7 linked regions of the Xenopus tropicalis genome follow. The protein of the gene in region 4 purifies or fractionates together with the protein of the main gene of each other region. This does not show direct contact. Links are inferred from orthologs where the notes say so. Each region holds a gene or a part of one and is shown on either strand. Other genes may lie near its edges. The genes, in order: hmgxb4, myo1c, baz1b, smarca5, baz2a, rbbp4 and baz1a.

What was found.
Region 1: the proteins of smarca5 (region 4) and hmgxb4 purify together in Homo sapiens (affinity purification with mass spectrometry; 3 studies listed by BioGRID and IntAct, with this or other methods). This does not show direct contact. The link is inferred for Xenopus tropicalis from reciprocal best matches to the Homo sapiens genes SMARCA5 and HMGXB4.
Region 2: the proteins of smarca5 (region 4) and myo1c purify together in Homo sapiens (affinity purification with western blotting; 3 studies listed by BioGRID, with this or other methods). This does not show direct contact. The link is inferred for Xenopus tropicalis from reciprocal best matches to the Homo sapiens genes SMARCA5 and MYO1C.
Region 3: the proteins of smarca5 (region 4) and baz1b purify together in Homo sapiens (affinity purification with western blotting; 11 studies listed by BioGRID and IntAct, with this or other methods). This does not show direct contact. The link is inferred for Xenopus tropicalis from reciprocal best matches to the Homo sapiens genes SMARCA5 and BAZ1B.
Region 5: the proteins of smarca5 (region 4) and baz2a purify together in Homo sapiens (affinity purification with western blotting; 3 studies listed by BioGRID and IntAct, with this or other methods). This does not show direct contact. The link is inferred for Xenopus tropicalis from reciprocal best matches to the Homo sapiens genes SMARCA5 and BAZ2A.
Region 6: the proteins of smarca5 (region 4) and rbbp4 fractionate together in Homo sapiens (co-fractionation; 6 studies listed by BioGRID and IntAct, with this or other methods). This does not show direct contact. The link is inferred for Xenopus tropicalis from reciprocal best matches to the Homo sapiens genes SMARCA5 and RBBP4.
Region 7: the proteins of smarca5 (region 4) and baz1a purify together in Homo sapiens (affinity purification with western blotting; 8 studies listed by BioGRID and IntAct, with this or other methods). This does not show direct contact. The link is inferred for Xenopus tropicalis from reciprocal best matches to the Homo sapiens genes SMARCA5 and BAZ1A.

Annotation. Positions count from the first base shown.
Region 1 is NC_030680.2:122,056,352-122,060,784, forward strand, and holds part of hmgxb4 (HMG box-containing protein 4), read right to left. Parts: intron 4,007-4,433; coding exon 3,925-4,006; intron 3,473-3,924; coding exon 3,408-3,472; intron 2,938-3,407; coding exon 2,832-2,937; intron 2,285-2,831; coding exon 2,115-2,284; intron 1,612-2,114; coding exon 1,489-1,611; intron 1-1,488. UniProt on the Homo sapiens protein: Negatively regulates Wnt/beta-catenin signaling during development.
Region 2 is NC_030678.2:45,982,299-45,986,731, reverse strand, and holds part of myo1c (unconventional myosin-Ic), read right to left. Parts: intron 2,205-4,433; coding exon 2,133-2,204; intron 485-2,132; coding exon 365-484; intron 1-364.
Region 3 is NC_030678.2:41,867,257-41,871,689, forward strand, and holds part of baz1b (tyrosine-protein kinase BAZ1B), read right to left. Parts: intron 4,366-4,433; coding exon 4,218-4,365; intron 2,863-4,217; coding exon 2,753-2,862; intron 439-2,752; coding exon 305-438; intron 1-304. UniProt on the Homo sapiens protein: Atypical tyrosine-protein kinase that plays a central role in chromatin remodeling and acts as a transcription regulator. Involved in DNA damage response by phosphorylating 'Tyr-142' of histone H2AX (H2AXY142ph).
Region 4 is NC_030677.2:59,221,373-59,224,972, reverse strand, and holds the end of smarca5 (SWI/SNF-related matrix-associated actin-dependent regulator of chromatin subfamily A member 5), read left to right. Parts: intron 1-135; coding exon 136-254; intron 255-832; coding exon 833-1,045; intron 1,046-1,692; coding exon 1,693-1,803; intron 1,804-1,990; coding exon 1,991-2,056; 3' UTR 2,057-2,436; downstream 2,437-3,600. UniProt on the Homo sapiens protein: ATPase that possesses intrinsic ATP-dependent nucleosome-remodeling activity.
Region 5 is NC_030678.2:138,719,826-138,724,258, forward strand, and holds part of baz2a (bromodomain adjacent to zinc finger domain protein 2A), read right to left. Parts: intron 4,115-4,433; 5' UTR 4,106-4,114; coding exon 3,970-4,105; intron 3,621-3,969; coding exon 3,087-3,620; intron 1,705-3,086; coding exon 1,519-1,704; intron 1,129-1,518; coding exon 919-1,128; intron 1-918. UniProt on the Homo sapiens protein: Regulatory subunit of the ATP-dependent NoRC-1 and NoRC-5 ISWI chromatin remodeling complexes, which form ordered nucleosome arrays on chromatin and facilitate access to DNA during DNA-templated processes such as DNA replication, transcription, and repair.
Region 6 is NC_030678.2:90,301,418-90,305,155, forward strand, and holds part of rbbp4 (histone-binding protein RBBP4), read right to left. Parts: intron 2,083-3,738; coding exon 1,956-2,082; intron 1,060-1,955; coding exon 982-1,059; intron 689-981; coding exon 609-688; intron 381-608; coding exon 323-380; intron 1-322. UniProt on the Homo sapiens protein: Core histone-binding subunit that may target chromatin assembly factors, chromatin remodeling factors and histone deacetylases to their histone substrates in a manner that is regulated by nucleosomal DNA.
Region 7 is NC_030684.2:109,364,730-109,369,162, forward strand, and holds part of baz1a (bromodomain adjacent to zinc finger domain protein 1A), read right to left. Parts: intron 4,043-4,433; coding exon 3,955-4,042; intron 3,510-3,954; coding exon 3,372-3,509; intron 2,916-3,371; coding exon 2,825-2,915; intron 1,468-2,824; coding exon 1,301-1,467; intron 539-1,300; coding exon 443-538; intron 138-442; coding exon 1-137. UniProt on the Homo sapiens protein: Regulatory subunit of the ATP-dependent ACF-1 and ACF-5 ISWI chromatin remodeling complexes, which form ordered nucleosome arrays on chromatin and slide edge- and center-positioned histone octamers away from their original location on the DNA template to facilitate access to DNA during DNA-templated processes such as DNA replication, transcription, and repair.

The sequences.
Region 1 (4,433 bases), on a different chromosome or scaffold from region 4:
TTCATAAACACTACTGCAGTTTATATAAATACCCTGCTGTGTAGCAACGGGGACAGCCATTTAAATTGAAAAAAGGAGAAAAGGCACAGGTTACTAAGCAGATAACAGATAAGTAGCAGATTCCCATTGTATTCTACACAGTTTATCTGTTATCTTCTTATGTAACCTGTGCCTTTTCTCCTTTTTTCAATTTAAATGGCTGCCCCCATGGCTACACAGCAGCTATTTCTATTAACTATAGTAGTCTTTCTGAAGCAAACGCGCAACTTTTACCAGTGCAGGGCAACAGTACATTATATGTTAATTATTTTAAAACATTTTTATTTTTTAGTGTTACCGTTCCTTTAATATGTTATACTTTTATTTCCTTGAGTGTTTCTGCACTGCTCCACATGTGCTCTGTACGACACTTCATTTATGCACAGCGGCATTTTGACCACTGATTTTTTTTGGCCAGATAGCAGCAGTGAACAAAACACCCCATGTAGCATAGCTCTACAGCTAATAGCACAGTGTTGCTACCTCCACTGTTTCTGCCGGTGGATTTAACTTTAACAGTATCAGACAGTTGCTATTTAAGTCAATGGCTGCAGTGTCGGACTGGGACCCCAGGGGCCCACCAGAAAACTTTAGACCCTAGGCTCTGCTTTCCAAACTATTTTTCCTTCTTTTCTCACCCAAACTCTTCATTCTCCTAGTCTCCTAATTTACATGCTAGCATCTATTTTCCATTTATTTCTCCTCTTTCTTTCCATTCAGAAATAGGGAATGACCATAAACCAGATGGGTCAGGAGCAGGAGGGCCCAATGACACCTGGGCCCACCGGGAGTTTTCCTGGTATCCTGGTGGGCCAGTCCAACACCGAATGGCTGCTTCCACTTCAGAGCAGTACTGGTGTTTTAGCTACTGGCAGAGAAAAGGCTTTATGTGACATTAGGATCAATCTGGCAGAAAATAACAGAACACTATTAATGCCTGTGTGAGGATAAAAAGGAGATTTTGAACTAACTGGAAACTTTTTTTTCTCATAGGCCCAGACTGTCAGTGCAGACTGGAAGAAAAGAATTAGAAAATTAAGTGGTTCATTTGTGATGACAGTTCCATACAGTCCTTTGTCCATACTATACTTGTATGCTGACTTACATCTTCATCTAGTGTTGTGTGTTTGGTGGAGTGATATTTACCCTAATCATTATTTACTTTATGGCAAACTCTGAGGCCTTTGGAATGCAGTCCCTTGGCTCCCAATTTCATCACTGTAATGTCAAAAAATACTTAGCACACCCTTAGCTAATGCACAATCAAGTGTCCTTAGAAGAAATGTACTCTCTCTCTGTGCACACTTTCTGCAGTACTTTACATCATGGAGATTTACTTTTAAATGATGCAACAGAATTACAACAGGCAGGCATTTGTAATGCGTGTGTGTTTCCAGATTAACAAATCCATTATAAATATTTTACATTTCCACTCAGTTTCATACTCACCAGTATTTGCTTGGGGCAAGCATTGAGCTGTGGCACATGACTTGTAAGACATACCAATGGGCCCAGGGCACACAGGATAGAATCCAGTAGCACAGACAGACTGCCAGAGACAGCAACCATTCCCTTTGAAATATAAGTAAGGAAAGATGGTTAGGCAGGATGATTTATAATAAGTCAAAGAAAAGATTATTTTACCTTATTATTATTTTACCTTAAATAAAAATGATTTTTTTTTTCCAACTATCAAATCTTTAGTATCTGACTGATTGCACATGAGCCAACTACTGTACAAGTGTTCATATGTTTGTAAACAAACAAACACCATCACAAATACATTTGCTGAAATCAGTACGTTTATTGCCTGCTTTATAAATTTATGCTCAAAGTCACCCAAATGTTTTGTGCACACTGCCAAAAAGAAATAAGGGGGAACTTTGCTGGGGATGTTCCCTGAGGTGAAAGCAGCCTCAGAAACAGCACTGTTGCAACATTTAGTCAATCATGCTTTAAGGGTGCAAGAAATAAGTATTATACAACCTGTAGCTCTCTACCTCTAATAATTCTACACATTTTAGCATCCATAAGCGGACTACCACTACTAAAAACCAAATAAATTAAATGCTAACTTCTGTCTCCTGGAGGCGGTGTCCGATTAGGCTTAGAGACTCCCCTAGCAGCTGCAAATGTGCAGCTACATCAATTGGCTCTGTGTCAGGGACCTTGGCTGGAGAGGTGGAGAAGGAAACAACACTGGTTGGTGACTTCTTGTTTGGGGAGGGGAGACCGGAAGATGAGCCTGAAAAAATAGAATACATAAGGATGACAGACTTAAGACAAACAGTTCCATCATTATATAAATGGAAATGTATATTTGCTTAATTGCTATCAGAAACAGCCTATCATTAATCTTGGTACTTGAGTGCAATAGTAGGCAAACTACCTCTTAATCAAAAATCCCAACACCAACAGTATGTTAAAAGTATTTTAATTAAACACTAAGAAGTCATTAGAGTGATCTTGCCTTTCCTTTCCACAATAAGAGGCTACATTGCATGCTCTTGTAGCCCTGTGTGTGCTGGAGGTGTCTTCATGTAGAAGACTTACATCAGAGCACTATGACGTTTTTGTGAAGATTTCTTCACAAAATGGGCAAATGTACAATGGAACTGTGCTGCCCTCTTCATTCTCACCAAGTGGACTAAGCAGTCACAGATCTGTGCCTAGCTGGTAAACCAGTTTCTGAATAAAGGGTTTGGTATTTTAACAACAGCAGCTTTGCAGGAAACATGGCACAGTAAAAATTGTTATGTACATTATTAATTCTGACTGCCACTGGACAATACCTTTGCTCCTTGCAGCAGACTCAGAGGAGCTGGATTTCCGTTTCACAGTAGTGGCCTCAGCTTTGTTCTGTTTGTGCTGGAGATACTGAGCCTTTTGTTTCCAAGCCTACAGTTTGTAAAAAAAAAAAAATACACTCAAACTTACACACACCTAAAATTAGTTTTGCATTGTTTTACATTAGAAAGAAAACAGAAGTAAAAAAAATTAAACTTTAATATTTTATGGAGTCACTTTGTTAGGATAAAACTCAAAAAGGGGGCCCCTTTGGGTTAAGGAGTAGTGGACAATAATCTCAGGTTATTTTTTCCGTCATGGCTAAACCCCCCGTAAAGACACTCTAAAGCCATGTAACACTAAAAACACTAAAATGTTCTGCTGAGCATTGTAAAAGTACTACTTCTTAACTCTACTACTCAAATTTCTTTGTGAATTGAACTGAACAATGGGTAACTTACAGTTAATCAGGATTTTACTTTTTTAAAATCCTGATTAACTGTAAGTGCCTGTACAAAGCACTTAAATTATTTTAAAATTCTATATAAAACGTAATATAATCATTCAGAAAGGGAACTCACAAGTTTATCTTTTTCCGGAAGCTGCTTCCACACCTCAGCAAGTTTCTTACTTAACTCCCCAAAGTCTGTTAACAGGAAGAAAAGTGAGTAAAATAGCAAGTAAAAAAACAAATATACCAAGAAGAATTTATTCATAATTTACAATATACCCTTTTTGACATTTCTAAAAAAAAGTGTTATATTTATATATACTTTCACAACGCAGGTACCTATTTGTTATTGTTAACAAATACGTACCTGTTTCTAACAGTGAGTTGTTTGGGGGAAAGGACAGTTTTCTTGGACAAACAGTTGCCTCTTAGTGATTGAAGAATCGTATTCATAAACAGGCAAAATTTCCTGGTAGCAAAGACTGTCTACTATCTGCTACCCTACAAGCTACTGCTGAGAGGGCACAGGGAATCTTAAAAAAGACCGAGTGTAATTTTGTTTTATAATTTATTTATATATTTTTACACACTGAGCACAAAACATATATACCAATTCTCATATAAAAACATATGCCTTTATTACTTACCAATTCCTGGGTGCTCTGCAATGATGCTACCTCGATATTCTTTGGAGAAGACCTGGTAAGCAGACATATTCTTCTTTTTGGGCTGGTGGTGGATAAGCATACATCAGTAAGTGATAATGAAGTTTTATATCAAATCCACTATTTTCTTATCCTAAAATAGCCCTAGTAACAGCTCATCTTTAAATTCCAGCTTGTTCTGAAAATGTTGATTTTTCTCTCCTGTATGGGTGCCCAATAGACCTCAGCTCTCTGTTAACAGTAACTAATTTTATGATTATCAAAATACCCTGAGCTTTTTTTGTGTGCCAGGGGAGATAAAGAAAGATCAGGCTCCCACCATATGTCACTGTCCTGACAGACAGGAGTAGAGCTGATAAAAGATTTTTCAAAGGCATGGCAGGGCTATAAATGTATTCCACTCAAGCTGGATAAGTAAGTACACTACAAAACTTGCTTTACCTCAGTCTCAAAAGAGAAACACATTCTCAAATATCCCCATGATGGTATGC
Region 2 (4,433 bases), on a different chromosome or scaffold from region 4:
GGGGCAAGAATCTGGGCCAGGGAAGCCTGTCTGCATTTTCTACAAAACTACCACTAGGGGTAGAACCAAAAAATATAAAAAAAATAAGCTAGGTTGACAAAACAGCAACAGTTAAGATAGAAAAAGCATAAGAAAAAACAGAAAACAAAAGAGACTGGCAAGAGAGAATGGAGTAGACAAACAGAAAAACAAAAAGGAAAACAAATTAAATGTCATAACACTTGTGATACTCAGTCATATGTAAGTGCTTATGTTGCTACAATGGAACACAATTATGCACAACCTCACAAACTGTTATTTTGGCACACTAACAGTGCTTTCTCACATTTTTACAGTATAATCAGTAAATCATAGCACTTTGTACCTTGTATGCAAGTGACTTGTTAATTTTACTGACGAGCCAAGAGAAGGTGCGTCCATATATTGCCTTTGCTAAGGCATCCCGTGCATATGCAGCTTGCTCAAGATTTAACGGGCTGTTCAGCTACAAGTGGGAGATAAAAAAAAAATATTTTATCCCAATTGCATTTAAATCATACATAGAGGAATTTCACAATTAAATAAACTCTTAGGGGCCGATTCACTTAAGGTCGATAAAACGAGTGCTATTTATAGCATGTGTTAAAAATATTATCACTTTTTTTTTTTTTTTTAGAGTTAACGATCGATTCACTAAAAGAACACTTGTCTGAATTAAGAAGTGGTGTTCTTAGCATTATTTATCAGGCAATGAGCGTTTTAAAGCGATATTTTAACGCATGCACGATAATTTTCACCGCGTGTGATATTTTTTGCCGGACTTGATTTTAGCGCATGCTATTACGCACGTAGCAGTTACTTTCTGAAAACTACTGTTCTGAAGATTACCATTTCCCTGAAAACACAAGCATGCATCACTCTAGGACAGGGGTGGGCAAATTTTTTAGCTCAGGGGCCACATTAATTAACATACGGGCCGGGCCGGAACAGCGTTACGCCCCGCTGCTTCCTCCGTCCCATCCTTCTGTTCCCCGGCTCCCCAGTGCATTCTTTTATATGGTTGCGCCCCGTGCGTGCTGACGCTGTGCGCACGCACGGGGCGCAACCAATCAGAGCCCGTCATTCTTTTAAGGGGGCCGTAGTTTGCCCACCCCTGCTCTAGGAAGAACACATACCAAAAATCTGACTGCAAACTCCATCTTGTCACCACAGACAATCACCAGCTGCAATTTTGTTTAGTAACGCCTACTCCTGGGAGGCGTTATATTTCACAGTAATTATCGCCCCTTTTTACGCATTGAACGCTTCATATGTGTTTGTGAATCACGCGTTAGTATTATTTCTATGCGAAAATTACCGCAATGCGTTTAACGCATGCGGTTGAATGAGTTATAATGCATGTGAAATAACGTTGATGAATTGGTACTTATTTATTGCATACTTTTTAACGCAAAAAAAAGTATGCAATAAGCATTATCGACTTTTAGTGAATCGGCCCCTTAAAAACTAATTTACAACGCACTACCATTTAGTGTGCAAAAAACCCCCCAAAAAACTGCAATTGGCCATTTTCTGCACTTTGCACACTGTGTGAGGCATCATGCTCATGTGCATCCTTTTTCAGAGCACAAAGACCAGCAGCATGCCCAATTGATCAAGCACTGACTGTTAGTCAGGACTTGACCTAAAAAAAGACGGGAAGGGGGGGGGCATGTATACATCTCTCCTACTGCCCCCTGTCCTCTTCATCATTCAGAGGAGCAAGATATAGCGGGCACAAGTACCCTGTAAACAAACACCAAAAGGGTGCGCCTCTGCACTTGTGCCCATGGGGGAGTAAAATACCCAATTACCCTTCTATACATGGGCGTATTTTATGCCCAGTTGATCTTAATTTTTTTTTTTATACTATTCCATCTCATTCAGCAACTGAATACAAAGCTGGTCAGGCCAGTGACCTGGGGAAACCAATAAACAGATTTTAATTTCATCATTCTTAATTTTATTATTGTTCATAATTGCATTCAGACCCTCTGCTGCCCATATAAGATGTCAAGACATGGGGAATCAATTTGTGCCATAAGTTTTATATTCAATTAAGAATTAAATGTCAATTATGATTTAAAATGAATAGGTATCCAAGGAACACTTACTTCTTCTCCTTTTGCAATGATCTTCTTGTGTATAAGAGATTCACGCAAGGCAGCAGCATCAACAGCCAAAAGCTGTAAGAGGCAATTAAAAATGCAAGTAAAAACATTCATTGGGTTAAAAAAAGTTGTTCAAAAAGTGGTTGCTACGTCAACTCGCTGCAATTAAACAAAAAGAAAATGTAATACATAAGGTCTGCTTCCTTGTTTTATAAATACATTGTACTTCTGAATTTCTGTATTTATTTGCAATAGAAACATTCATGGTTTTGATTATTCTGACTAGGAACAGAGAGAGAAAAAAAAAAAATGATACCAACGTTATGCACTTTGGTAGAAATGAGAAGGATCTGAGGTTTTTTTTTAGATTACAAGTCTAATTTCAGGCAATGTCATTCGGTGGCTACTAAAGTAAGTAAAGTGCTGTCTTGCATAAAAAGGGCATTAACTCAAGGAATGAAAAAATCATTTTGCCTTTTTTTTTTTTTTAAAGATTTTATTTTGCATATTTTATATTTACAAACAATTGAACAACAGAAAAAACAGAGTAGAGAAGGAAAGGAAAAGAGAAAAAAGGGGGGTGAGTCTAAGGTACCAGTTCTGGCTGCGCAAGGCTAATGATCCTCCATATGCACCAAATTTATAGGTCCAGCCACGTGCCCCATACGGCATTACATTTCTCCGGGCACCCTCTTGCTAGATAAGTCAGTTTCTGACTGGGAAGGGAATCATCCACCATTTCCGCCAAAATTGGAGAGGAGGAGGATCTAGGGACTTCCAGTGCATTAGAATGGATATCTTAGCGTAGTAAAGCAGCTGCAAATAGCACAGTCTAGAGTAGGAGTGGAGGTGCAGGTCACCGGTTAGTCCTAGCAGACAGAGTTCCGGGGAGTGTATGTTTGGGAAGGCAAGGTTCTCATTAAGGAACTGTAGAACCTCGCCCCAGAATCTCTGTATCACTGGGCAGGACCAGAAAACATGAAACAGAGTACCAACATCACTTCTGCACTTGGGACACAGACACATTTTCATACATTTTGGCCAGGCGGTGGGGGGTTAGGTACACTCTGTTTAAAAATTTTATCTGAATATATCTGTCCCTCATACAGATTGATATTTCTGTCACTTGCAGAAGGGCATCCGACCACATTTCGTCGTCGAGCACCGGGAATTATTTTGCCTCTTTATAGGTCCCAGGTAAGGCTTCACCTAGAGTTATGCAGTGCAGTTTTGGGCTCCAGTCCTTAAGAAGGATATAAATGAGCTGGAGAGAGTGCAGAGACTGCAACTAAACTGATAAAGGGAATGGGAGATTTAAACTATGATATTAGACTGTTAAGGCTGAGGTTGTTCTCTCTGAGAAAAAAAAGACACTTGCAAGAGGACACGATTACTCTGTACAAGTACATTGGAGGGGATTATAGACAGATAGGGGTGTTCTTTTTTTTTTTCCCATAAAAAGGATCAGCGATCCAGATGCCACCCCTTTAGATTAGAGGAACTGAACTTTCATTTGAATCAGCATAGGTGCTTTTTCATGGTGAGGGCAGTGAGGCTGGGGAATGTCCTTCCTAGTGATGGATGATTTCTTGAACAGGCATAATGTTCAAAGCTATTGGGATACTAAAAGCTACAATTAGTACTGATGTTGGTATATATAGTTTATGCACAGTATGCAAGTGTATAGACAGGTCAGGATAGGTTATGTGTGCTGGAGTTCACTTGGAAGGGTTGAACTTGATGGACTTTTTTTTTTCAACTTAACTATAACTACTGGATAAAAATATTTGAGAATTACCTTGAAAAAAAAATGTAAGTTACTTACCGTATATACTAGAGTATAAGCCGAGTTTTTCAGCACTAAAAATGTGCTGAAAAAGGAACCCTCGGCTTATACTCGAGCATATACGCGCATATATGGTAAATGGATTCGCAGCTGCTCGTTCCCGCCAGATAGCGCTCGGACTCGGCGTTGTATTGCCTACACAGGAGAAGGACCCATTCGCGGACTTTATTGAGGTTGTCCCGCAACTCTAAGGACCGGCCAAGCAGCGCGAAACTACCAGACCGTGGTGTTGTGGTGTCTTGTTGCTGTCGGGTGTGCTGCTTATTGTAATCTGCCGAGAGCGCTCTGTTCCTCTAACCCTTGTCATGCGGCAGCTGGCGAGGCGATTACACGACGGCTCCTTGCAGACACACAGGTAGGAATTAAGAGGAGCGCCGCCGCAACAATGTGCTTATTTAAAGAGCAGCGTAAATATGCTGGGCTTACGGATCCTCTGGCGCTGCTGACAGGGCACACCG
Region 3 (4,433 bases), on a different chromosome or scaffold from region 4:
AAACTAAAATAGTTAATCATGTAAATACCCTCAATTAACTAAAAAAAACCTTAACCCGCATCAGACCCCCATATCTTTGTCTTCCTGCTCCTTATGCTACTTTTGCATACACCTCTGGTACCAAGAGAGGGAACCTGGAGCAAAGGAGGAGAGCAGCTTTCTAGTCCAACTCACACCCAACCCGAACCTGCAATGGTCATCCACATTTGAAACCAAACCCCCCAACCACAGGTTTCAGTTAAACCCACACATCACTAAAATATTTACTATTAAACAAAAACAAACATTAGAAGAATTATTTTACCATTTCCTCGACATCAGCTTCATTGTCTTCCACATATCGTTGTCGTGAGACACGAGATTGATTACTGTTTTTTGGTGGACGCCCACGTCGCGCAGGCCGGCCCGGTTTAGCTTTTGCAGCTTTGCGGGACCTCACTACAAAAAGGGAAAAACATGAAGGTACCTATATAAAAGCACGAGGGGCACTGCAGACATTTGAAATACCAAGTGTTTCAAAGACGCCTTTAGAAAAAACTAAATTATTAGGACAATTTGATAAAAGTGTGATAATGCACTTATTATGCAATACTTTTTTTCAGTTTAACAGTGCTTTTGAGATTTAGTTTCCCCTGTTCTTTCAATGAGAATCAAAATAAATCCATTGAGAAGCTTTTGTGTAATGAGCTGCTGTAGCTGGGAGAAAGGAGGGATTTCTTCATACAGAGGAAGGGGTGGGGGGAGATATACTGCCCCCTCTAGCAGCCAACACAACATTTTATTTAACCAGAAGATATCCACTCCTTGACACTATATTCCACAGGTGTTTTTTTTCCTGTCTGGTTACTGTGCTATTTCCTACTGTGTTTCCCATAGCTACTTTATAAAATAAAAAACCTCATTAAAAAAAAAAAAAAAAGTAAAAACTAGACAGATCATTTACATGCCCTAAGCTTTCTCTTGCCACAGCCTCCATTTTAATCAAATAATTACATATTTAAAAATGATTTTCTTTTCCTCTGTAATAAGACATTACCTTGTACTTGATCCCAAGCTATAATTAATCCTTATTGGAGTCAAAACAATCCTATTGGGATTCCCATCATACACATGCACATGTGTGAGTTGTGACACCTATTATGTGCATGTGTGTGCTTGAACATGGCTGTGCACACTGTGAACTAACTCCCAGTGCAGGTAGTTTAGTGCTGGCAAGGGGCAGATTTAGAGGAAAAAAAAAATTGTTTCCCACTACCGGAGTACAGGCTCTAATAGCTTACACCACCTCTGGTGAGGGAAACCATTTTTTTGTGATAGATGGCCTTTAAACTGCACAATCCTCTCTAGGATAGCAGCAGTAATATTGGATTTATACCTCATCCCTGTAATAGGGATATTGGATACATTTGTCTATAAATACAGTAAGACCAAAAATATTTAAAGGCTGTCTGAGTTTTATACTGATTATTTATGGTAAAATAAACTGCTCATAAATATAGCATAGTAGTTTCTATTTAGCTTCCATGCGAATATTGCTTTGTATTAAAAAGCACAAGACCACATTAGATCTGATCCACACAGACAACTGGAAGGAAGACATTTGTTCCCCATCTCAGCCCCCTCCCCACTGACATTGCTGAGCTACAGCTGCTGCTGGTGAGAGATGAGTATAGTACTAACAAAAAAAGGAGGCCACACAGTGGGAGCATGCAGTTGCCAACTTAATCAGTGAAAAATTAACTTACTAAAGGAAGGGGGCAAACATGTGTTGTGTTACTACAGCAAGGGCTAAAACAGAGCTTGTACGCTTGCCGCCTTGCTGTGAGCACATACTCTAGAGAGGCGGCTGTTGCCTGCACAGAAATGCTGATCCTGTTCTATCCCTGGGCTTTCATCTTTATGTCCAACACTTGCACACAAACATCTCTTCAAAAGGCAACAGCATGTTGAGTAGGCAGTGTCTGTGTGCACAAGCCAACAATTCTCATTCTTCTGAGTACCATAATGCTGCAAAGCTCTATCCCTGAATTTAACCCCTTCAAACATTCTATGTTGGAAAACGCAGCACAAAATAAATCACTTTGTTCTCCATTTGATTATGGCATGTTCAACTGTAGCTTTCCTTGTTTCCTTATTGCTGATATTCCACCTTCACTAAAAACTAATAGTAAATAACATGGTTGAAATACAGAACAATGTTTATTTATAAATAACTGGGGTGAGGGGGTTGACAAAAGTGGTGATAGAGACAAAAAAAAATATCTTCACTTTTTTTCAGATTTTGTCTTTTAGTAATATTAGCAACAATTTTTAGGAATTTGTCTTTAGCTCTTATTAAATCTGTTGGTGTGTTATCACAAAATACAAAGTTTAGAATTGTTCTGACAGTTACACTGAGCTTTTTCCCCCCCAAAATCTCCAGACTGTTATTACTTAATGTTTTATAGGACCTGCAATCCAGAATGCATGGGACTTTGGGTTTTCTGGATATGAGATCTTTCTGTAATTTGGATCACCATGCTTTAAAGCTACTTAGAAATCATTTAAACGTTAAACCCAACCATTATGGATTCATGCAGCTTAGTTGGGATCAAGTACAAGGTGTTAGAGAAAAAAGGAAATCATTTTTAAAAATGTGAATTATTTGATAATTTGCCAATGATGTAAGTGCTTTAAGCACCATCACAGCAATTTTTACTTTTACATACATACTATACCTAGAAGCTTTTCTGAAAGCATTCATTTTACTTACATCTCTGTCCCATCATTTCTTGCTCCTCCTCCTCCGATTCCACCTCTTCCTCCTCCTCTGATTCTTCCTCCTCCTCCTCTTCATCTTGAGTGGAGTCTTCAGCATAATTTCTGTTACACAGAAAATTCATTATAAACACATGCTTGGCGTGTAAACCAGAAAATAGGCTTACACTCAACAGCATCTATATAAAATGTAGGAAACATTCAGAGCTGCTTGCGCTCTATCAGAGCAGGGTGTCAAGTATAATACTTTCAATAAAGGCACAAATTCACCAACATTCTCGCTCCTGCTTGGTCTTCCAGATTTTAAATTAACTACCATTTCTTGATGACTTTATAAGCATTACTAAGCATAAGTAAGCATCAGTTAGCTTCATTTTTAGATCATCACTCAGTTGCTTAGAAAAGACTATGGTTAAGGACCAGCCCAGCTTAGGATGTCAGACTTCAGAAGTAATAGTGACGTGTTTTACGTTTAACAGAAATGTGTTACTATCACTTTAATAAGCTCTCTGGGGCGAAACTTGCTGCTAGACACTGCCCTATTTCCTCCCAGCAAATCTGCCTTACCAAGCCTTCAGCAGCTACTTTCCCCAATGCTTTAAATGTTGATGTCGGGCAGCCCAGTTCATATGGAACAAACATTAGTGAGTATCACAAGCATTATATTATTAATGTAAGGTGCTGCATCAGAAAAGTTGAAGCTTCCACCTCCATTTACATCATTGCCCAAAAATTTGCTCAGTTATATTTATGTATGCAAACTGTAGATTTGATGTATACACCCATCCTTTTAACAGCATGCAGAATACACTGGTGCTTTATAAATACTTGTTAATATAACCGCAGATCACAATTTTTAGTAGGCGCACACTCAATATAAGGGCAGTGACACACGGGGAGATTAGTTGTGCTGCAACAAATCTCCGTTGTTGTGGACGACTTATCTCCCCGCGATGCCATCCCACTGGCTAGAATGTAAATCGTGGGAGGGATGGCATACGCAGCGCTGCGATTTCCCCAAGTCGCCTGAAGTTGTCCGAAGTTTCCTCTGAAGACAACTTCAGGCAACTTGGGGAAATCGCAGCGCTGTGTATGCCATCCCACCGGCGATTTACATTCTAGCCAGTGGGATGGCACTGCAGGGAGATTAGTCACCCAAGACAACAGAGTTTTTTTGCGGAGCGACTATTCTCCACGTCTGCCACTGCCCTAATGGGGCTAATGCCTGGTTGAACAAATAAGTCACAAAGAAAAAAAGGTTGGCATAACACAGGACTTAGCAAAGCAAGACTTAATTATTATAAGTGAATAAGGATCAAGGTTTCCACCCCATTTATGAGACTTCGCCAGGGCTGTTGTGCCAAACTTATCAGCCACAAAGCACAATGCATCGAACACTATAAAATCAGTACATGAAATTATTGCAAGCGTAGGAAAATATTTGTTTATACATTACTGACCTGCCCCGAGAACTTCGTCTAGCAGTTGCAGGCTGACATGCAGGGCACAGCCATTCTCCATCAGGTATGTTAAATAATACTGGTCGCAGACAGAAGAGATGGAATGCTTTATTACATTCATCACACAGAATTAGCTTGTCATCTTCACCTGGGCAGACAAAAAAAAAAAAAATATATATATATATATATAAATAGTAAATATGATGCACGAAAATT
Region 4 (3,600 bases):
TTATTTATTCTCAGGCTCCTGGGCAAGTATTTGCTATGAGACCTATAAAGTCATATTGCTACCTATAACTCTGTACTCAGAAGCCTGTAGTTTCTTTTTATTGTTCCAAGTAACAATTTAATTTTTTTCATTTAGCGGTCTTCTGGGAAAGGTGCAATGAGCTTCAAGATATCGAGAAGATAATGGCTCAAATAGAAAGGGGAGAAGCGAGGATACAGAGGAGGATTAGCATAAAGAAAGCTCTAGACACAAAGGTACCATTGGTATTTGCACACAGTTTAGACTGACGCTTTATTTTTTGCTTAAATTGCTGTGCACATTAAACCCTGCCAGTAGATCCACACACACACACACTAAGGTACAGAGTTATTTACATGCAGGCCTGCTATTAGAAACTCGTGTGGCTTTGAAGAAGAAAATCTGTACCGATTTTATGAAAACAAATTCTATGCAGTTTTAGTCCCCCTTCACTTTACTTGCTCTCACTGCTGCAGATAAATCTTTAGATGGCAGCTGACTGCTCTATGTGGAAATCATCAGCACTGCCCGATTTCAACCTGGTCCTACATCTGGTAAAATCTCAGCTGTTGGATTTTGCTGAATTGGGAGTGGGTTTGAGGTCCACCTTAGAACTTTCAGGATACTGGATAAAGGTCCAGTATCTGTATGCTGTTTCGCTGGGACCCTTTGCCCCTTGGTGGCTGCCCTTTATACAGGACTAACCATGACCCTCTTGCTTCCTAAATGTATTTGTAAAATTAGAATGGAACTCCTTATTGCAAATTTTACGCTACACAATTACGTTTAGACTAATGTCACTTAATTTTTTTAGATTGGAAGATACAAAGCACCTTTCCACCAACTGAGGATTTCGTATGGTACAAACAAAGGAAAAAACTACACTGAGGAAGAGGATCGTTTTCTCATTTGCATGTTACACAAGCTAGGTTTTGATAAGGAAAATGTGTATGATGAACTGCGGCAGTGTATACGGAACTCTCCCCAGTTCAGATTTGACTGGTTCTTAAAATCAAGAACAGCAATGGTGAGTCTTAGCTTTCGATTTCTTCAGGAAATACAATAAATTTGGATTTAATCTGTTTTTTTGGTTTTTTTTTTATTTTAAAATGTTACTTCCACTATATTTTTTCTCATTGAGAAAAAATTAGTACTGAATAGAATTAGTACTGTCAGTGCATCAGCTTACAAAGCTTGACATGTGGCATCAACCAGTACGGTTTGGGTGTTAATATCCTGGTTCTGTGACCTGTAGGAGGTGAATATTTGCCTGCCCTGCAGCTGGTTGCAGCCCCGGCAAAATCCCATCTGGATGTATAGCTGGCAGTGACAATATTGTTTCTGCAATTAGACATGTATGCTGTTGGCCTGTATATTTGATATAGGGTATTCTCCTGCAGCTAATGGTGTCCTTTAAAAATGCAGTTTACAATGTGCATTGGGATTTCATTTGTATGTTTTGTGGTTTCTTAGTTCTCCGCATATATCTGGTTGCTACGGGACTGAAAGATGAATAGGAGAGAAAAAAATATTCTGACTTTCACTCTATGCACTTAAACCACTGGAAAGGTGCAGAGTAGGTTTAGCTATCACACACCTATAAAATTGGCAGGTACATTAACTTAAAATGTAATAGAAGTATAATGGGCTTGATAAATGCAATTTGTTTAATAGGAGCTTCAGCGAAGATGCAATACCTTAATCACTTTAATTGAAAGAGAGAACCTTGAACTCGAGGAAAAGGAAAAAGCTGAGAAGAAGAAACGTGGACCAAGGCCTTCATCGGTAAGTGTGTTTAATTCTAAAGTTGCTGCTGGCCAATATTTTTTCATAGATAGCTCTGTCCCTACATTTAATTGCAGTGAAATCCAACATTTGGCTCAAAGCTCACTCACAGATTATTAAGACATGTTTAGTATATCTGCAGACTGAGGAGAGTTCAATGATTTTAACTATGGTCTTAATGTTGCAGGCTCAAAAACGAAAGGTGGATGGAACACCTGATGGCAGAGGAAGAAAGAAGAAACTGAAGCTCTGAGACAAATTTGTAAAATCAATAAATTTCTGAAGTAGTTTTTTACGGGTCTTCATAAGATGTACTGTACGCTTATCTACTATTATGTCATTCAAAGACATTGGGTTCACCTGTTTACTGAAATAGGAACATAGTACTTATTGTAGTTACCCTTTTTAAATACAACAGCTGTGCTGGGTTTTTTTTAGCCATTAACAGTTGAAGTAAAAAATAGGCTTCATTAATTAATGTGCTTTTCTTAATGTTTTTCCCCCCTCCTTCCCTGTCCTTGGACAGCTTTTGAAACTCATTGTGTATATTTTTGTAAAGTATTATTTTTGTATCTTTGGATTATTATCAACATGCACACTGTTCAGAAGAATACAACATTCTTGTCTAGTAAATTCCTAAATGTTTGCTTCAAATTCTTTCATATGTAAATATAGTACAAATGCATCTAGAATGACAGTGGGGATGTAGACATAAAGTGTGTGTGTGTGTATATGGTATCTATCTGGACACCTGCCTTATAAGCATCTAGTTCTAAGACCAAAGGATTAATATTGAAAATATTTTTTATGTTAAATCAGATATCATTGTTCTGGGTGGAATAGATGTTGGAACATTCTGACTCAAGAGTATTTGTCAGTTTGGGTACTAATGCTTGGTTGAGGCCTGCCTCACAGCTAGAGTTTTAATTCATCCCCCAGGAGTTCAGTTGAGTTGAAGTCCAGGCACCATGCAGACCAAGCAAGTTCCTGAATTCCCATCTCAGCTAATTCATTCTGTACAGACCTCACTGTACATGAGGGAATTGTATACAGTGTACCTTACTCTACAATATCATTCTTGCCATTGTCATACTCTGCCTGCCCTACGCTGCCTGTGTGCGCCATACTCTGCCTGCCCTATGCTGCCTGTGTGCCATACTCTGCTTGCCGTATGCTGCCTGTAGGAGGGGGTTATGAAATTTGTGGTTCTTAGGGGGTTCCAGGCTGTTTAATTATGTGTTGGGGGTTGCTTTGCAATACAAACGAGGAGGCAGCATATGGATTTAAGGGTATATTTTTAAAAGGAGAACTAAAGCCTAATTAAAGAAGTTGGGCTAAAATGCTTTGTGCTTCTGTACCAGCCCTTTAGCAGGGGAGATCTGTAATGCCAAAGATGCCCCAGTAGCTCCCTATCATCTTTTCTGCTGAATCAATGTACATGCTCTGTGGTGCTGACAGTTACTGAGCTTAGGGGCTGACACACATTATACTGTATATATGAAACATAAATGTCACAATATAAGGTTGACTAGTAATTAATACAGATAATTACTACATTGCAGCTCAAACCAGTGCAATTAGCATCGAAATGTGATCAGCAGCCCTGCAGCATCAGGTTATATGACAGACAAACCTAAAGGGATACTGACACCAAAAAATTTCTTTTAAAAATATGACCCTATTTCCAAACCTACCTACAGGTCATGCTGACCTTTTTTCCTAAAAGTCCTGTTTCTCTTCATAAATCCTGCTGAAGATCCTGAACCCGACTGTAGCAACTCAGTCTATCAAAAGGAC
Region 5 (4,433 bases), on a different chromosome or scaffold from region 4:
CTGTAGTACAGAATAGCATCAAATCAAAATTAAAGTTAAATCACATGCAGCTAGGAGGTGAAAACGCCTGTTGAACAAGGCTGGAACTACAAGCTGGGATTCAGGCTTAGTCAAAAGTTACGCAAATAAAGCAAATGGAAAACATATACGTTAAAAACTCTTTAAACAAACAAGGGAACTTTTTAGAAAATAAAGGTACAGTTTCCCTTTAAACACAAAGTGACAAAAAGTGGTAGGTGACATTTTAAAAGGTTAATTAAGGCATGCCTTTTTAAACACATTTATGAATACTAAAGCCAAATACAAAGCTCTTCCAAAGACTGCAATTAGTAGAATCTGCATATGTAGGAATAGCAAAGAATAGTGTCCAGTGCACCTCTAAATTTGTGATTATGGCTGTCTGGTTACGTTCCTAGGAACAGCAGCCCTATGCAATTTATACACCTATTGCTGATTTCAGGCATCCATTTTCCAGGTGCGGGCAAATCTGGCCATGTAATACTAGAGCACCAGTAGGCAAAAATGGTCATGCCATAGCTCTCTGCAAATTCTCTCTACAGAGTCTCAGTCACAATTTACACGTCAACACAACAGGGAGGATGTCAGTATATACAGAAGACTATACCTTTACTATTAAAAGGGCCTTTCTACACAGGACCTTGCAAAAGAGTCCTGTGCATTCAAACACATATTTGTATTTAAAAGTTTTAGTTGCACTGTGAAAGCACTTTGTACTGAGATGGAGAAACAAAATCACTGCAGTGTATTCCTACTTTGTCACCCATTTGTAGGAGGACAAACCTTGCACAGAAATGATCAATACTCCATGTGCAAACCTTTAAAACCCCTATACCAGAAATGCATTAAAAAAATAAAATATATGTTCCAACATAAGCAATTTTATACATGTAAATATACCTTGCATTACAGAATCTCCAAGAACTGGGGAAGCAGATGCTGCATTAAAAAGGACAGAAGAGTTATGAGTGTCTTCAGCCATAAGCGGAAAGGAGGCAGAAAGGGTGTATGATGGGCATTCCAAGCTTGAGGCGTCCAACGGTGGATCCTTTTGTTGCATGCCACCTACTTCCATTTCTTCTAGATCATACATGGTGCTGCTTATTGGATCTGTCAGTAGTAAACATGAAAACATGAGCAACAACTGATAAGTTGCAAACTATGTAGCACTAATACAACATTACCACCGTCATTAACTGCTATCCTACAACCACAGGGCTTTCTTTTAGCTTCTCATGCACACATTACTGAGCATTACCAGTAAACAAACTGCAGTGCCCAACCATATTCCACGTCTGTCCATAACTTTGTCACCTGGCTTCCTTATGGTAAGGTTAACTACAGCTCACATCCTCGGGGAAACTAGAGTATAAGATCAATTATGTAATCCTAAAAGGTAATTAAAAACTTCTGCAGGATATTTTAGCATGTGATTTTACTAGATGGAAATATAGTCCCAAATATGTCTACATAAAACCAAATCCTGTCAACTATCATTACCTTGAATTAGATCTGTTCCAAAGGGCTCCAGAGAATCTTCATTAAGAAGATGGGATTTCCCAAGCTGGGATGGAAGCTGGGATGGGTCATCCAGATTGCTAACATCAGGAGGAAGGAGTGGGTTGGGTGCTGACTGAATAACAGGGTCTAGGTCTGTTTCCTTGTATTCACAAATGTTGTTAAGATCTATCCATTGAAATAAAATTAAAAAAAGGGATAGAATACAGCAAAAAATAGAATTAAAACTTTAAGACATAAAGCTACATCCCAAAACCCTAAATATTAAGCTGCAAATGGTTAAACAAAGGATCAGCAGATAACTGGACAGTGTTTAGAACCAAGACAGCACTATCATATGAAGGAGAACAAAACTAGCAGATCAAGATCTCCTCTAGTGGAATTATAGTCCCTTTATTATTAAATTGCCCCCATTTGACAAATACTGGAAATAATCCAACTTCTGTAACCATCCCTGGTACATTAATTCCACAGCCAACACAGAGTTCCTTAACATCTCTTATTAAATGTGATTCATTTGTTGTACAATATATGTTAATATTCCTTAATATTTAATTGCTGTAGTAGTGTCCTGTTTAGTAGCTACTTAAATTGTGACCATTTAGTGTTCAGGTCACAATGAAAAGGGTGACAAAGCCCATGCTCTATTATTATTTTAAACCATGGAGTTATTTTATAGCAAGGAGTCATTTAAAAGGTAATAGATTTCTTTATGCAAAGCAGAGAAAGGTGTACACAATGAACATTTAACAATATATAGTTGCTTTAAGCACCAACACAGTAGAAACCCTATTTTACATTTTTTAGGGGACCAGAAATGGATTAAAGTAACAGTAACACCAAAAAATAAAAGTAATTACAATATAATGTATTGTTGCTCTTTACTGGTCTAACTGGGGTGTTTGCCACAGAAACACTATATAGTTTATATAACCAAAACTGCTGTGTAGCAATGGGGGCAGCCATTCAAAAAAAAGCACAGGTTACATAGCAAATAACCTCTGTAGAATTCAATGGTGATTTATCTGTTATCTGCTATGTAACCTGTGCCTTTTCTCCTTTTTTCAGCTTGAATGGCTGCCCCCATGGCTGCACAGCAGCTTATTTATATAAACTATAGTGGCGTTTCTGTAGTAAACACGCAACTTTTACCAGTGCGGGGCAACAGAATATTATATTTGAATTACTTTAAAACACTCATTTTTTGGTATTACCGTTCCTTTAAAATCAGGGAAAATGTGAAATCAAGGAAATGCTTTGTGTGTATTATATATTGGTGGGACCGCAAAAAGGTATAAAATGAGGGAATACAAAATTAGAGATTGTAAAATTGAGGTTTCACTGTATAATATTTTTAAGAATGTTCCTTTTTTATACTAATTATCAGCATGACTATTTCCTATCAAACCAATCTGACAAGTGCTACAAATATGCATTTGGTATACAAGGTGGGACAAATCCATACTGTAAATATATAAATACATTCTGCACTCAAAAAAATGACAAAATAGTTAAAATATATACCAACCCTACAGGCTACAAATCCATACCTGTCTGTGCATCAGATGGCTCCAATGCCTCTGCCAGTTCGGGCGTGCGATTATACTTCTCAGAGGTGCCTGCCTCACTTTCCTGTTCTGTTCCCTCCTTGACCTGGTTATCAGCAGAAACAGACTGCATGCTGGAAGCCGACACAGAATCAGGAAGGGATGCTTCACAGAAGCCATAATGTGTCCCATTAGCTGCAGTTACCACCTTAATATCAGCTTCATTAGGACTGCACAAGTTGTTGCTGCTTAGGTTGCAGGAAGCTGTTTGGTTTGAAGTACAGTTTCCCAGTGTTTCCTGTGGACTTCTTTTAATGGAAGGTCCATTAGTTATTGTACAGCTTGAGCCATTTATTAAGAACTGACTAGGTACACGAGAGTCCTTATGCACCGAGGACTTGGGCTTTTTCCAGAGGTAGTCGTAGTTATTGGATACAGAATTATGGGTAATATGATCGTTTGATAATAATGTCCCATGAGCATTGTTAGACAAGGAGGGAGAGATTAGGCCATTGACTGGCATGTCATACTTCAGCACTGAAAATAAAACAAATAAGAGAAATAATTAAAACTTATTATTAAAATTCTAAACACAAATAAAAAGGAATGTGCCTTTAAAAATAGCCTTTCATGCCACTGTACTGTAACATGCTACAAAATCCTTGCTAGCATCCGCCAACCAATCCACTTCCTGCTGGCTGCTCTCCCAGGCTAAACAGGTGAGCAGTGCCACAAGCTGGAGGTGCAGCAGGGGGAATTCATAAATTAGACCTACTATGCCTTCATTCTCAGGTGTGAGCACAAGTCTTACGCAAATGGTTGATGTTGGTGACAGTTAAATTTTACTGATGCAGAAGTACAGCCAAATACAGTGGCCGCTACTCACCCTTTCCATGTTGGGAAAAGCTTGTAAGTGTACTGTTTGTGTAAACTGGTTCCACCGATTGAGGCAGTAGTTTTAGTCCTGAGGCATTAGTGAGAGGTGTTTGTCCAGTGCAAGAAAGATGATTTTGTGTCTCCATGTCTAAAGCCTACAAAAGATAGAAACAAGTCTTTATACACAAGATATACATGAAATGCCACACTAAGCCAATCTCAGTGTGTTCTCTAGGAACAATACCCATGTACAGCAATGTTACTGGTGAAAGCACCATCCACAACCACAAACGGAACAGACATCAAATATTACACTTTTCACAAGAGGGTAGAGGGACACTCATCAAAAATATTGTATTAGTGCTTAAAAAACTCTGGAAAACAAATTACATAAACTGAAAATGTTATGGTTACTGCACTTGCATAAGGAAGTGTAAACACAGTTAAATCGCCTTATTTGACCCCACAAAGCAG
Region 6 (3,738 bases), on a different chromosome or scaffold from region 4:
AGAAAGGCCATCTGCCACAGACTCCATTGTAATCAAGTAATACACATTTTTAAAAATGATTTCATTTTTCTCTAATAATAAAACAGTAGCTTGTACTTGATCCCAACTCAGATTTAATTAATCCTTACTGGAGTCTCAACAATCCTGTTGGGTTTAATTACTGTTTAAATAATTTTATTAGCAGACTTAAGGTAGGAGATCTGAATTATTCCCTTATCCGGAAAACCCCAAGTCCCCAGAATTCTGGATAACGGGTCCCATACCTGTACTATATTTTTGGGTATCCTGGAATTTCATGTAACAGTATGCTATTCGTTCTTACCAGAAGTTCAGGGGGACCATCTTCTGCATCTTCAGGAGACTGCTCTTCTCCAATTTTACTGTTTAAGAAAAAATGAGTTTGGTGTTGAAGCTACGGGCGAGTGCGAGTGAAGAGTTTACTAACTGAATGCATAGTAATATACAAGTACACAGTATTTCTCTCAAGTCTTACTGGGAAACTGTTATACTTTGGAAATTAGTTTGTTGTGATCAATTGTAAGGATCCATTTTAAATTCAATAAGTTTGAAAGTTTTTCCTTAAACAGGATGTCAGATCATTTCTTTACCTTAAATCCCAAACATTTAGTCTACGGTCAGTTCCACTGGATGCCAGGATGGTCTCATTATGTGGGGACCACTGGACCTGCTCAAAAAAAAAAAAATTATGAAATCTGTTATTTCTAGCTATTCTGCATTTCACAATATACATGTCAGGCTTACAATTTGTGCACATTATCTCAAAATAGTAACCCTTTATGAGAAGACAGCTACAGACTGTATTACGTCAGACCCAAGTCTTATAGGGTCAGATCAAAGTGACAAGTGGGGTTAAAGTCCTTTATACATACTTCCATTTTGCCTTCATTTGCCCTTAAAGCAGACAGTGTAAACCATTTTGTTCCCTAAAAGCTATGATAAAAAAAAAATTCAAGACAATACCTGGAAAATTTCATCTTTGTGAGATTCAAATGAATGCAACTTTAATTTCAGATTGCGTAGGTCCCATAATGCAACAGTCTGAGAGAAAGACGAGGGAAATATAGTGTAACGTTAGAAATCATTTGGTAGGAATAAAAAGGGCCCTTAAAAATCCAGATGCATCATGCAAAACACATTAGGCCAAACAAGAGCAAAATATATACACTTGAATTGCACAGACTACTTGTGATCCTATCTAAAAGTAGCTGTTTAAATCTGTCTACAGCATGAGGCTTAAAAAAGTACTCATACACACTAATTTCCAACAGCTTTCCACATTGCTTTGTAAAGTATGTATTACAACCGACCCTTGCTTTGAAAGCAGGCCACAGCAGGCCATGTGTTATTTTGTACGACAACCCCACAGTAGTTAGAAATACTACAATAAAGCTGGCCTGAATCGTGACCAGTAACGTAATCAAGTACACTTTTTTTTTTTACATTTAAAGTCTGTGCCCAAAAAATGTATTTGCAAGAAATGGAATATTTTAAATGGTTTTCATTCTACAGTTCATTTGGCTTGTGGCACTTGGGGGGCAGATTCTTAACCTCGGGAATAAGTGCAGGCCGAGAACCTGCCCCCTACACTCTAAATATATGGAAGCGGCTGTTCGAGCATGCAGTTTCGGGTTAAAATATTACGCAAAATATGGTACGAAACTGCATACGCAGTTGCTCTGAATTCCACTTTCATCTGCAGGCTTGGTATCCATCCCACGTGGCACTAGTCTATAAGAACCACATTCTTCCTGCTCAAGAAAAAAACCCACTGTATTCTACACAGCTATACAAACTTGCACCTTTTAACTTAAATGTCCTTTGAATGCATCCTAAAAACTAAATTTCTTTGGTACAAGGGACACGTGATACAGGATTCAGAACTTTACTAATACACAAAAAAAGTCAGTCAACATATGGTAAAATGTAATGTTTACCTTGTCAGCTGACCCAGTTGCCAATATGAACTCGCTGTAAGGGTTAAATGACAGACAGTTGACTTCAGCTGTGTGAGCATCCACAGAGTGGCTGGGCTTTGATGTGTTGTTTGATCGGGTGTCCCAGCTGTTAACAAAAATAGGACTATCACTCCAGTCTTAAGAAAGGCAATACAATAAGTTCCCTCTGAAGAGGCAATAAGCTTTAGCTGACGAAAGTTACTTTATAGTTTTGGTTACTGCTGGCTGGCTTGGGAGCTAAGGTGGAGGTAAAATGAAGGTATACATATGGTAATAGGCAAAGTTCCAGCCAAAATGACACTGGTGGGGGTTTGGGAGCAAAACTAAACTTCGTGCCTCTGCTTGTTTGGCACTTCAGCTAAAGCCAGAAAACAGCAAAATGGAAGTACACTTTTTCATAATTTTGAATTACATTTTTAATTTGTCAATAACTACAAACAAACAACAACAAACTACTAAACAAGTTTAAAAGTGCCTTTACAGCACTGAAATTCACCAGTACTGCACAGTCAGAAAGTTCCCAGTGAGTGCTTCATTTAATAATGATGCAAAATAATTACACAGAAGTAATATAAGCTTAACATACCATACTTATTTAAGGGTTTCCTCTTGACCCTTTATCACACTAAGGGGCCCATTCACGAAACCACAAATTTTTTTTTCCATATTTTTAGCTTTTAATATTAACTCCACTGGCTATTCTTTAATTTTGGTTCTCATCCACAATTATGAATAGACTTCTTCCTTCTCCACAGCATTAAATCTGCATAAAAAATGTCAATGATCTATTGCCTTTATTCATTTATTTATGCAGTGGCAGACTTCTACCTAATTTGAACGTGTGCGTAGAAAAAAATTTTTCCAAAATAATTCCAATAGAGAACTTAAAAATAACCCATGTGTACTATTTAACAACCAGAAACTGAGGTTTCATGAATGGGCCCCTAAGTGTTGATTTTTAGGACAAAAAAAATCCACCCAGTATGTGCAATGACAAGCAGATGCCGTTTCTATCACTGAATCAAGCCATTCCATTTTTCTCCACCAGCATAAAAAAAAAAACTTTACATTTACATTAATGTTATTCAGGAATTTGTCCAGTAAGTACATAAAGGATTCATAAATTAAATCCAGTTACTCTAAATGCAATTCAACTGCTTTAAAAGAGAACTAAACCCTAAAAATGAATATGGCTAAAAATGCCATATTTTATATACTGAACTTACTGCACCAGCCTAAAGTATCAGCATCTCAATAGCAACAATGATCCACAACTTCAAACTTGTCAGAGGAGCTCCCCATCTTGGAAAGGGTCTGCGACACCCACATGCTCTTTGTGATCTGGGCAGCTGAACTTAGGGGTTGTTGCAAATTATCAAGCAAAATATAAGGTCGTCATATAAGTGGATACCACAGGGCTGATTATTACATTCTGATACTAATTGCACTGGTTTTAAAGCTGCCATGTAGTAATTATTTGTATTAATTACTAATACATTATATATATTTATCAATTAATTATAATGCAGCATATATATTCTATATCCATGTATTGTGAATTGGTCCCTAAGCTCAGGTAAGTGCAGGGAATCAGCAGAAAAGAATATAGGGAAGATACTGAGGGCACAGATTTTCCCTGTTAAAGCGGACCTGTCACCCTAAGAAATAACTCCAAATTATTTTCTATATTGTTAGTTGAGCAAATTAAACTTTACTTACTCTATATAAATAATATAAATCTTGTTTCCTTCCGTCTTGGAAT
Region 7 (4,433 bases), on a different chromosome or scaffold from region 4:
AATGTCATTCCATCAGGAAACTCATCCTTAAGGTCAAACAGGTCTCCAAAAGCATGTAGAAACTCTAGCACCATGATGGCATCTCCAAAACTTTCAGGAGGGAGCCTTGTTTTCACTGGAGTGGGTTCAGGAAGCTCCTGAGATACAATACGTTTTTGGGGATTTAATATTAGATACATTTTTTTCAGAACAGGTTCAGAAACAGAGTCCATTTGGTGAAACTAGAAGTTGAGAATACTGCCTTGTGCTTTTGCCATCTGATATATATAAATGTACATATTAAGAGTTAATGTAGTGTGACACCTGCATAATATACAATTTGTATTTTTTCCTAAAATCAAAATTTCAGACCACCTTAAGGCTGTGTCTCCATGGCAAAAGCCCCTCCACCATTACTTAGTGCATAGCTAAAATTCTATATAAAAACATTTGTCACCGATACCTTAAGATCATCACACTCCATATCATCCCGAGGTCTGCTCCACTGTTTGAGACGTTCTGCATATTTCTTCTTTTCCTCACGAAGTTTCTCCCTTTCCTATTTAAGTATGATTCAGAAGTAATCATTACAGTTGAGCAAAACAGTGTTAAAAGTTAGGGGTAAAAAAAAAAAAAAAAAAAAAAATAGATTTTTCTCAATAAGTGAGACCATTTAAGAAAACAAAACAAAAAAAAACCCTTAAAGGAGAACTAAACATGAATATGGCTAGAAATGCCATATTTTATATTATAAAATGACAACCCTGGCTTAAATTTTCAGCATCTCTATAGTAGTAGTGATATAGGTCGTTACAATTGTCACAGGAGCTCCCCATCTTGGATTCCACACTGCAGCAGTTTCTAGGCAACCATTTGAACTAATCACTATTCAGAATGTATATTTTAAAAAGCATGTTATTTTAGGAGGATCAGATGAGAAGAGTGGGCAGATAACATTTTATGATGCTATTTTTTATATTTTTTTTGTTTTCATTGAAGACCATTGTCTTTGTTTTAACCATGCCTTAGGTAAATGTCACAAGCAGCATTTCTCAAGTGCCTGTAACCACCTCCCAGTGACTTCATTTGGAGTCACTCAAAAAGAGCAGGCTTTCTTGTCCACCAAAAAAAAAAAACTGACCAGGTTCCTTTTAAAGTCTAGTGTTAGTGTTGCTGACCCTGGGATAAGCTAAGATTCCTATATAACTCACAGCATACTCCAGTCAAGAACTAAAGCATGCTAAGAGTCATAGTCAGAACTGTAGGACAAGCTGAATTAAGTTGCTAGTTTTAGTATGTAGATCATTAAAGAGTGCATTACCTTCTCTTTTTCCAGTTTCATCCTCTCTTTCTCTTCTTTCTTCTTTAACCTTTCCACCTCTACTATTTTTTTCAGCTCTTCCTTTTGCCTTTCCTTAATATGTTTCTCTTGTATGCGGGACCTTGCATCCACTGCACGTTCTCTTCTCATCCTTGCCTTTTCCATTTCTAATAAAACGTTCACAGAGAGCAAGGAAGCTGTTTCAGCAGATATTCAGATAGGCAATCACTATTTAATTGATTAAAATGGAGTCTATGTGAGATTGGGAGCTTTCTGGATAAAGGGTTTCAGGATAACGGATCCCATATCAGTAGTATTGTTGTATTTACAGAGCATTAACTGATTCCACTGCATAATACCTTAGGTTTATGTCAGACAAAGTAATTTCTCCACCAAAAAGGCAGAGAAAAGGCTGATGTCACCCACAGCTGCCCCATATGTAAATAGAAAAGAATGAATGAAACCTACCAGTGCACATTGGGCAGATCTCCATTAGAAAATGGACAGCCATACACAAATATTTTTTGCTTAAAAATGGAAGTGGGAAGGCAAGGTGTGATCCCCAACCAGTGGCTCAGGGGCAACATGTAGCTCACCAACCCCTTAGATGTTGCTCCCAGTGGCCTCAAAGCACGTGCTTATTTTTGAATTCCAGACTTGGTGGCACATTTTAGTTGCATAAAAGCCTGGTGTACTGCCAAACAAAGCCTCGTTCCTCTAGGCTGCCAGTCTATATAGGGGGGCTACCACACAGCCAATAACATCCTTAATTTGCAACTTCCTGGAACTTTTTAATGCTTGTATGGCTCCCCAACTATTTTTACATTTGAATGTGACTTATGGGTAAAAAAAAAAAAGGTTGGGGACCCCTGCTGTAAAAGCATTATTTGATTTGACACATAGCAAAATCATCAAAAAGTCATTAGGGGGCGTATTTATCATGCTGTGTAAACAAACAGTCAGTAAGCTGCACACCATTAATATTAGATGCTACCTGGGTGCCAGTGCAATGTTGTAATATGCAGATAGGAGAGAAGTGACGGCACTCAGAGGGATTTTCACACAGGAAATATCAGGTGAAATAAAAAGTGAGGTTTTATTCAGTCCAACATTTCAGTTCCCAATTGGAACTTTCGTCAGGCAGTGTGTAAGAAACGGTGAGAAAATTCACCACACATCACCAGGCTTTGCTGTGTAAAAAACGGTGTAATTTTTTCACGCATTTTTTCTTCCGCCGGAACTTATGTAAAATAACGACGTAAAATCTGGTGTTTGGAAGGCGATCTTCTCCATTTTACACAGCTTTTTACACCGTTATTTTAGGGAATTCGTTTTACACAGCATAATAAATATGCCCCTTGGTTTAGGGAAATCACAGACAGGTGAGAAAGCTATGGTGTTCAGTGTGACAGTCACAGCATTAAGAATTGTTACCAACAATTGTGTTTGTGTTAAACTTTGTGTTGAAACAAACAGATGCACAGCCAGAATTTAAAATGTGGTAGTTAGCAGGGATTTCCTTACCCATAGCTTTCAGTTGCTTTTTCTGTTGCAAGATTCTCTCTCGTTCTTTTGCAGCTTGGATCTGTTTCTGTTTGTTTGCTAATCCATTGCCCTTTTAACATTAATACAGAAAAGATAGTACTGATGTACACAAAAATCGTGTACAGTTATAACACTTTGGTAGTTATTTTATACCAAAATATATCATTTTCACTAGTTCTTTTCTATTCATCTCATTCCACTCTCTGAAAAGGGGGAACCCGCAGGATTTACCTAGCCGAGTGTGCGAAAGGGATTGAAAACCTGGATATGCATGTAAAATAAGATATTTTTAATGTAGGGCTCTTGTTTTATTGAAAGTGAAAGAAGAGTTTGTATTTTATACACAAAGTACCATCAATAACTAGGTCCCAGGGTGATGGCACATGATAGTTCAGCTTTGCTTAAAAATTAATAAGTCCATCAAGATACGCACACGGTGCTCCTACTCAACTATTTAGACCCCCTCTTCAATACGAACAAAATTTGTTTAAAATTAAGGGGAAAAAATATTAACAATCCAGCTTACCCGATTTAAGTGCTTGTTTGGAAGAGGTCTTCCACTTATTTTTTTATTTGGGGGTGAGCGCTGAAAATCCGGTGGCTCCTCAGGAAAATAATTGAGAAAATTTCTCACAGAAACTTGGTATTTTGTGACTGAACTTGGCTGCACAGAAAAGAAATGGAAAATAGTTTCAAAAATTGCAAAGATCCCTTTACCCATGGCCTTGTTTATCTGCAGATATGCATCTATTTATACTATATTCCTGACAAGATCAATTCAAAATTTACCTAGTGGTTTATGTGACAAAAAGTCACATGATTTTAAGGATTCAGATTTGGTTCACCCAGAGGCATGGATTCATCTGAATCCTGCTGAAAAAAGGATGAATCTTGGCCGAATCCCAAACCAAATTCTGGATTCTCTGCATCTCTAAAACACAGGCAAGCAAATGCACTTTCACCAGCAAAAAAAAAAACAAAACAATTCAGTACTATATGATTTTTTTTTCTAAAAACAGATTTGGTCCCTAAGATTTATTTATTGTCTGATTCAGAGCCATCTGACAATTTTATTAAAATAAAAAATGAAAACTTAAAAAACATTCTACCTTAGTCTTTATTATTCCTTCATGTGCTTCACAGTGCAACTTCAGAAAAAGTTTCAATCTGTCTTGGGAAAATAGCGATGGTTTTCGACTAGAAATAAATGAAAGCCGGTGTTTATTGTAATTGTGAGCAAGAAGACACAACCTAATTTCATCAAAAAAAATGTATACGGGTTTTTTTTTTTTTTTTTTTAATTGCCATTGTTGGCAACTGGAGTTTTCCATCTGAATTCTGTCAATACTGTCTTCTTCAGAACTCAAATTTCAGGAGAGATTAATGAAAATTTCAAAAATTCTTTGATTTTTCTTGCCAAATCTTGTGCAAGAAATGTCAGATTTTCTCAACTTTTTCAATCATTTTTCATCATCTGTTCCTTGTGTAAATGCCAAATAATTTTTTTCCCTACCATTGCGCAAGTTTTCTACATACTTTAAAAATAAAGCTTGAGGAAAAAAAAAAAAACTTGAGAATTCCCAATGAT